Linked DNA regions of Nothobranchius furzeri. The protein of the gene in region 1 purifies or fractionates together with the protein of each later gene. This does not show direct contact. Links are inferred from orthologs where the notes say so. Each region holds a gene or a part of one and is shown in the gene's direction. Other genes may lie near its edges. The genes, in order: cdc6 and ccnf.

The links.
Region 2: the proteins of cdc6 (region 1) and ccnf purify together in Homo sapiens (affinity purification with western blotting; 4 studies listed by BioGRID and IntAct, with this or other methods). This does not show direct contact. The link is inferred for Nothobranchius furzeri from reciprocal best matches to the Homo sapiens genes CDC6 and CCNF.

What each region holds. Positions count from the first base shown.
Region 1 is NC_091747.1:65,968,757-65,973,130, reverse strand, and holds the start of cdc6 (cell division control protein 6 homolog), read left to right. Parts: upstream 1-1,268; 5' UTR 1,269-1,419; coding exon 1,420-1,627; intron 1,628-1,694; coding exon 1,695-1,952; intron 1,953-2,022; coding exon 2,023-2,222; intron 2,223-3,039; coding exon 3,040-3,188; intron 3,189-3,626; coding exon 3,627-3,733; intron 3,734-4,374. UniProt on the Homo sapiens protein: Involved in the initiation of DNA replication. Also participates in checkpoint controls that ensure DNA replication is completed before mitosis is initiated.
Region 2 is NC_091752.1:57,969,938-57,974,282, forward strand, and holds the start of ccnf (cyclin-F), read left to right. Parts: upstream 1-1,390; 5' UTR 1,391-1,622; coding exon 1,623-1,635; intron 1,636-2,662; coding exon 2,663-2,817; intron 2,818-2,909; coding exon 2,910-3,016; intron 3,017-3,091; coding exon 3,092-3,159; intron 3,160-3,315; coding exon 3,316-3,512; intron 3,513-3,711; coding exon 3,712-3,765; intron 3,766-4,059; coding exon 4,060-4,164; intron 4,165-4,301; coding exon 4,302-4,345. UniProt on the Homo sapiens protein: Substrate recognition component of a SCF (SKP1-CUL1-F-box protein) E3 ubiquitin-protein ligase complex which mediates the ubiquitination and subsequent proteasomal degradation of target proteins.

The sequences.
Region 1 (4,374 bases):
CATCTGGTACCGATCGGCCCGGCCTGCATTGAACATATTGTTTTCATCCCTGGGTGATCTGGTACTTGCCCCCTCCTACCAGGCGGGTTTTTGGCCCTTAACCTCTGGTGGTCTGCTCAGGGCTGGGCCAGGCCAACATGCCCACTACGACTGACTGGCCGGCTCAAATACCAACCTGCCGTTAGAGGGAGCTTCTGATTGGTGGATAGAATCAACCAACAGTGTGAATAAACCCTACTGGTGTGGGACCGGACCGACGCTACCCAGCCCGGTCCGTGCTAGCCCAGATGCGAAACGCCTAATGGAGACAGTTTTTTTCCCAACAGTAGTTTCTTCATCTCTTTCCTTTGGGCAGCTGATGCAGACGATGGGAGTGTAGCATGAATACGCAGCTCAGAGTGACCAATCGTGAATCGAATAGAACCATTATTGCTGTTGGAGCTATATTTCTGCAGCTGTCACCTCGCTAGACTGTTCCATACATACTTTATTATTATAACTGGTTAATTATTCTACAGAATGAATAAAAAGGTGTTAGGCTCATGTGCTATGGTGGTGGAATTCTGTTAGGGTTAGGGTTACACGTGTCTAGTTTCTCTGGACATTTTCCTGTTAATATTCATGAGGTAACGCTCATCCTGGCTTCACTGATGCTGCTGATTCCAATCGTGTGATCTGACAGTCAGAGCAGATCAGAGCTCTTGTTGTCAGATTAATATCATCTTGGCTGATGAAACATTTCTAGTGAGTGCAAATGATCCTGTTCAGTCTCTGTTGTGTTCCAGCCACCTGGAGACAGTCAGGGACAGGGGACACCTCCGTGTGTGTGTGTGTGTGTGTGTGTGTGTGTGTGTGTGTGTGTGTGTGTGTGTGTGTGTGTGTGTGTGTGTGTGTGTGTGTGTGTGTGTGTGTGTGTGTGTGTGTGTGTGTGTGTGTGTGTGTAAACATGAATGTACACTGTTCTGTGTTCATGTAAACACACACTGATCTGCTATGAAACCGTCTCATCCAATCACCTCTCAGACGGATGAGCTAAGCTGGACTCACCTGTTCAGGTGGGACCTTCCTTGTTCTGCTCTTCCTACCCATTTCTCGATGGCTAAAACTCAAACAAAAGTATTTCCCGCCGTTACCAAACGCGCCCTTTGCGTAACTTCCGCCCGCAGCACCGAACCAATGAGGTTGCGAAAAGTGTTGCGTTGACCAATCCAAGAGCAGCAGCGGATGACGCAGCTGGTAAAGAAGACGTTTTGGCGCTAGTTTGGACTCGGTTACCGGTAGAGAAGCCCGTCCTCGAGAGGAGCTGACCGAGCGCAGGTGAGCGTTGATCCGGGTTGGTTCGGGTTAACCTGACCGGGTTACCAACCCCTCCTTTACTCTGAGAGTCCTGCAAGGCGAGCTAACGCTAAAGCTGCTAGGATGCCTAGCACCCGCTCCCAGGCTCGAGCTCAGCCCACGCTGACGTTCCCACGACGCAAGTCCTGCCGAGCGCCTTTAAAACCCCCCAAACCTCCAGGGTCTGCGTCCCAGGACGTCCTTCCGCCTCCAAGCCCACCCAGGCCCGTGTCTCCGAGGCAGTCTCCCGCCCTGCAGCCCCGACTCCCCCTGAGCCCGCGCAAACGCACAGGTGAGTCTGCAGCGCTGGTCAGGAGTTGTCTCCATGAAGGTGTTGACTTGTGTTTATCTCTGTAAAGGTGATGAGAACGGCTGCAACCTCCACACCCTGCAGGCGTCCCCTCCCAAACAGAAAAAGACGTCTCTGTCCTCCCAGAGGAAGCTAGGTTTCAATGAGAACTCTCCAGTCGTGGTCCATCAAACATCAGACCCATCTTCTGAAAAACCACGCTGTCCAACCACCACTTCGTCCACTAGGAGACCAGAAACGCCCACCGGAAGTCCCTTGCGTGGCACTGGAGGAAAGAAGACCCCAGTCACTCAGCTGTTTGCAGAAAGTAAGATGGTTTCAGCAAGTTACGAGTTTCTTAGGAACCAAAGTGCTACAATCATTGTTTTTCTCCTCAGAGTCCAAGTTCCAGAGCGTGAAGCAGGTGCTCCACACATCCATCCCTGAACACATCTTGTCCAGAGAGGCGGAGCAGACGTCCATCCGCTCCTTCCTGCAGGAGACGGTCCTGCAGCGCCGTCCTGGAAGCCTCTATATTTCAGGAGCTCCTGGGACTGGCAAGACGGCCTGCCTGAGCTGTGTCCTGAAGGACATGAAGGTGAGCTGGACATGCTTTAGCGCTGTCTGCAGTAGGGCTACTCCATCATGGCTTTATCAGGGCGATCAGAAGAAGATCAGAACAACTCCTGGTTCCTCGTGTAACAGAGCCAGTAGGCTGAGCTTTAACCCTAACCCAATTCTGATGGCAAGAGTCTAAACATGCATGTTGTAGTGAACTTCCATAACCTGCTGCGGTACTGAGTCCTGTCCAGCGGCGCTGTGGGAGAGTGCAGCACTAGTCTGTTGCTCTGAGATGAATCAGCGTTAGAAACGTATTCCTAAACCATTTATTTCCAGGTTCCATCAGTCCATGTAGTAGATGTCCCACCCTGCAGAGGTGCACTGCAGCACACACACTACAATCAGGAGTGTGTGTGTGTGTGTGTGTGTGTGTTGCACGGGCACATTTAGCCGTTTCACCAGGAGCCTGCGGGGACAGGAGTCTCTGAGAGCCGTCTCTACGTTGTTCCCTTTCCTAATGTCCAGAAGGACGGTCCTGAGTGCAGGCTGTGACCTGCAGGTATCCAGGAATGTTCCTAGGTGGTTTCTGGGTAGCTTAGAGAAGAAAGTGGAGGAATGGTCTGAAAGGTTGTTAGAAACGGCCACAAAGCTGCTAAAATTTGGCAACGCTGCTGGGAGGTGCGCTTGATTTGCAACTCGGAGTAAACCATGAGAGAGGAGCAAATCATCGGCTCGTTTTGTTGTTCCAATGGTTCAAAACTCTGATAGTAATTGTGATTAAAATGTGATTTATTGAGCAGCCCTGTCTACACAGATGTCGTCATCTCCTCACCTAGCTGTTGTTGTCCCATCAGGCTGAGCTGTCGTCGGTTCTGACGGTTCTGGTGAACTGTATGAGTCTGCGAAGCGCCCACTCCATCTTCCCTCTGCTGGCTGACAAACTGAAAGTGCTCAGCGGCCAGAGGGGTCTGCAGAAGTTCTTCACATCGTCGGGGCCTGCTGTGTGAGTGACCTTCATGCTGCCTGGTTTTCATGGACCTGACTTGCTCGTCTAGGAATGGGCAGTGTCAGACATTCTTCATAAATGTTCATATTATTTCAAACAAAATACTGAACGACCCGCAGAGACGGTGTTCTGAAACATAAGCTTGTGTGTTATGAGGGTTAGGGTTATGAGGGGTACAAGGACTCACGTCATCCATCTATCAGCAGTAACAGCTACACGTCACAAATGTCTTCAGGAACCTTTAGTTCTAATTCGTGTAAACTCGATGGTTCATGTTGTACAAGAATCAATACACTTTATGCATTTAATCTGCTGATGAATTTATGTACAATTTCTCAAGGCAGCTCTGGGAGTTGACTTGAATGAAAAGTATAGATGTAAGTTTTGGCCCATATGGCCCAGCCCTAGGCTCATGCGTGTGTCTTCTCTTCTAAGGCTTCTGGTTTTGGATGAAATGGACCAGCTGGACAGCAAGGCTCAGGACGTCCTCTACACCCTTTTTGAGTGGCCACACCTGCCCAGTTCTCGTCTCTGTCTCATTGGTAAGAGTTCGTCCCGCACGGTGTCTCGGCTGCTCTGTAGTAATGACGGTATTATTGGTTTACGGTAGAAAGTACACAAATGCAGTCACTGGTAGGGATTCTGACTACACAGGCAACGGCTGCTGGGGTGGTGCTTTAAGACAAGTTAACATTGGGTTAGGGCTGCTCAATGAATCGAATTTTAATCACGATTACGATCTGAGTTTTGAACGATTATAAAAACAAAACAAGCTGATTATTTGCTCCTCCCACCTACGCTGCTTGAGTTGCAAATGAAGCGCTCCTCCACAGTGTTGCCAACTTAGCGACTTTGTCGCTATTTCTAGCAGCTTCAGACCCCCTTCTTGACTTTTTAAATCTAAAAGTACCTAGCGAACATCTCAGAAACATCTCTCGTAACCCTTAGCTACTTTCTGGATAACTGTCGTCGACGTTTCCTGCAGGTTAGCTAAACACTCTGCCTGCGCTCCGGACCGTTCTTCAGGACATTAGGAAAGGGAATGATGTAGTGATGTGTCGGTCACTAAAGAAACGGCTCTCAGAGCCGGCTCCCTGTTGGAGTAACCAGAGTGAGTGACACACACACCGTACCTGCAGGCTCCTGAGCCGCTAAAAATGGCTAAATGTGCGCGTGCGGCGCG
Region 2 (4,345 bases), on another chromosome or scaffold:
CTTAACATTCAAACCTTTTTTGTTCTCAGATCAATTTTACTTCTGTTATGGCACATTTTTGGATGAAATTATACTAATGTATACTCCTTGAGAAAAAGATTTCACTACAGTGTGTGTTGTAATTTCTTTATTATTTGAGACTCCTTTAAGTGGCGTGTCCCTTGCTATTCACTTTGTGCTTTTACTGGGAAAATAGTTGAGCTGGGTTGGAGTTTCTATGGAAACGGTGCATCTAGTTGAGGATGTCAAAGCCCTTGCCCTGACTGAGGTCACTCTGTCAGCTACAAGATAATGTGATTGCTCTGGACCTTCGTTGTTCAGCAGAGCAAGACTTTGCAATCCCCAGTGAGAAAATAAAAAGGCATTTAATTTATTTGCTTTATTCACTGTCATGTGAGTAAGTTCAATTTGATAAACAAAGGTGGCTGATTGTTTATTGTGTGCTTTGGGACGTTACTGGGAAAAACATTTTAAAGTTGTAAAAAAAAATTATTTTTTAAAATTAATGTGAAGCTCCTGATCTTTTTCGTGATGATGAGACTAAATGAACATGTTACAGATCAATAGAGAGCCTGAAAGGAACAAACGAATACTCCCAGATGTAGTCTGCTTCTTTATGACCCCTTTCAAAAGACCAACAATCAAGAGGATGCTATTTGGCTGAGAGAGCTCTCTATTTATTGTCAATAGGGATGCAACAAAAAGGTCTTAATTATGTGATTTCCTCAGAGGAAGCTTCCTCAAACCCAAACCAACCTGTTACTTTATTGCTTCCCATCTATCTTATGTTGGTCTTAGTGTGTGACCCATGAACAAGGCATTATCATAATTTCTGGATTCTGCTGTGCATTGGTGACATCTCTCTGATAATATTCTCACCGAGATACTTTATTACAGTTATTATAAAAAATAAATCATTCTGAGTGACACAGAGTAAACCTTTGATCTTTTAGAGAGAAAAAAAATCATTTGCTTTAGAATGTTTAAAAGAAACAAAGTAAATGTGTCACCGGGTCAAGTAACTGCACTTTTCTCCAACCCTGACTCCCCCTTGGACGGATCATTGGGGGCATGTCCCTTTAAATTATGTACCTTTAAACGCCACTTTTCCATTTAACTACATTTCCCACACGCCTTTTCAACAAGGCGGACACACGCAATCGAGTCAACCAATCGTAAGAGCACACAGACGAGCGCGTACTTCGAAATGGCATTACATCCTCCAATGAGCTTCGGTTATTTCATAGTTCAAGGTGTCAGACCAATCTGTGTTGCCTCTATTCCTATTGTCCAATCATAAGCTTGTAGTGTCACGCGCTGACGATGTTGCTCTCTACCAATCAACTTCTTTGTAGAGTTTAAACCGTGCGCGCGGGCGGTCCTACATAGTTTAAGGCGGAGCCTTGTCCGGACTCGTGCATGAATTTGAATTCAGACAACTTGATGTTGAGTTATTAGTCAGCCGCACAAACTCAACATTAACTTTAACACTGTTTAGCCTCTAATTCACTCCAAACGGTGCTCGGTGTAGCCTGCCTGCCTTAACTTGCATTAACACTGCGTTAAAACGGCTCCTCCGTGTTGCTGCTACAGGCTTCTGCGCAAAAGGAAAGCTACTTGCAATGAAAGCGGGCGGTAAGTAACTTTCTTCCGCTTTACCCACTCAGAATAGACGAATGGGAATAATTTGGTATGAAATGAGTGTTTAGGAGTGTGTGTTTGGTCTCAAACCGATTGCTAGGTACTTGTCAGCTCAGGCGTTAGCTAGTGCAGTGATGGATCCCAACAGGAACTTGGTGTACCATTTAGCTCAAAAGCTTCAATATACATCTAACACACCCACGGCTCATTTAGGAATTGTAGCACTAATATTCGTGGTTGGTGTCAGATGATATGTAGTTAGGTGTGGATGAACGAGATCTGGTCGTAACGGTACTTTATTGAACCCACAGGAGGGAAATTTGGGCGCTCAGTTGGTTTGACATCATCTGTTAAGATTTCACCACTGTTCGATTTCCCCAAACAGCTCAAATATGGTTGTTTGTGTTCATTTAGGCTTTTTCTTCGTCTACATTTGATCAACATGTGGTTTAACGTGTTGAGGAACATGTGGAGTTATTTTAGTAGGCATGATTAAACTGTGGAGTAAGTAGGAAAACTACGATGGAAAACTACTACGAGATTATCATTTATCTCTAAACTATGCAAATAAATACTTCTTAAAATATTATTTTAAAATGTCGAATTATGCTCATACCTATCATGCAAAAAAGAAACAATAATTTATGGTGTTGGTTGAGTTAAAGCTCAATTCAGATTCTAAATGATATTAGTTTCAACTGTATTTTGTACAAACTTGGGTTTTTATACTTAAATTTTACAAATGTAGTTTTACATTAATTTTCTTTGTGGCAGACTCACAACCCAGGAAATTAATAGTAACTGAAAGTGTCAAATCATATAAATCAAAGAAAGCCTAACATCCTGACTCGTGTGTTAGAATTAATTAAATGCAAATGTTCATTTTGCGTTACAGTGAGAATTACATCTCCAGCTTTGCACCGAGACCTTTACTGATTTTCCTGTGTACACACCTAAAAAGTATTTGACTCTAAAAGTGTGTTAATTTTGTGATTTGAGTATTTTTTCCTCTATTTTCCAGTCGTCCACTGCCGGTGTTCAAAATGCTACTCTGTTCCGACACGGAAGCGAGTCCGTCAACGATCCCCAGACTTAACTTTGCTCTCCCTGCCTGAGGAAGTCGTTCTATGTGTGCTTCAGTGTCTCTCTGCTGAGGATCTGCTGTCAGTAAGAGCGGTGAGTGAACGTAAATCCCATCACAAAACGTCTGACAGCCTCTTCTGTCGTGTTTCTTGTTCAGGGATTAGTTATCCAGGTTTCTGTTGTAGGTTCACTCCCAGCTGCGGGACACTGTTGACAACCACTCGAGTGTGTGGGCCAGGGTCAGTTTCAGAGACAAGTGGCCGTCCCCCGACACCTTGTGGCTGTTTGAAAGGTACGGTTCCTTCTGACAAATACAACAAAATACTTGCTTTTGTTTACTGAAATTAATATAAAATTCTCACTTCAGAGCTGCTGAAAAGGGGAATTTTGAAGCTGCTGTGAAACTTGGAATTGCTTATTTGTACAATGAAGGACGTAAGTTAAAACAGTTATTTTTTTCTTCTTATTCTTTTCAGAATGTAGTAAATTTCTGCTCAAAGCACCACAGCAGTGTCATTTTAATGTCAGAGACACAAACCCTCTTGATAAATGGTTACGACCCTTCACTCTGGCCTTCTTTCCTGCCTTCAGCGTTGCTGAGCGATGAGGGGCGAGCAGATGTGTGTGGTCGAAAAGCCTCCCACTTCTTCAGTTTGGCTGAGAGTCTCCGCTCCCCCAAAACCGATCCCTTCACTTGGGTGTTCATCCGTCCACCATGGTCGCCCACTGGCAGCTGCTGCAAGGCCGTGGTGTTTGATCGCCTCAAGGCTGAGTGCGATGGCAACATGGTAGGTTCTGCTGCCGCCAGATCAGTGATGAGAAGCCACAGAATAAAGCTGTGTTTGTCCGTTGCATTGAGCTCGAGCCGCGTATGGATCTAGGAAGGTTTAAAGCTCCAAACAGAACATGAGCTTCTGCTTTCCCCCTGCATAACCCATGAGAGGAGCACTGGGAACTGAAACGCTTGTTTTTTTTCTTTCCCTGCAGGAGAAGAAGGGACCCTTGTTGCACTGTTTGGCCAGAGTTTTGCTTCTTTTTGAAGTGAGTGAGACTGAATTTGACTTTCTGGGTGTGGCTTGCTCGGTTTCTATTACCGTTGAGTAAAAATGTAAATCCGTGTGTTGTCACGTGACGTGTCCCCAGCCATGTTCCTCTTTACGATTGGCCTACTCTTAATCAGTCCCCCAAAGCTTTTACGAGTTTTGCTGATTGATGCTTTAGACTTGTGAGGTTTCATAATTTGCTGAAATCATATCTATCAGACTGTTATTTCACTGCTTTCTTACAAATGTAAGAGCAAAACATTCTGTGGTTATAACCATCTGTCTTTCCCAGGACGAGGGGCGACGCTCCAACGCTGTATCTCTGCTGGAGGAGTCGTCTCAGGCCGGCTGTCTGCTGAGTTCTTATCTGCTGTGGGAGAACAGCCGCAAAGCAGCTGTGAGCGTCGTTCTTTCTTTCTGCCTTCGTGTCCCTCGTGGAACACGCGTTTGGTGTTGCCTTTGAGAAAGCAGCTGCTAAATCAACCACTTGGAGTCTAATGCATGATTTATAAATGGATATAATTTGGATTTCAGATCTCAGACCCAGGAAGGTACCTGCAGTGTGTACGAACCCTCAG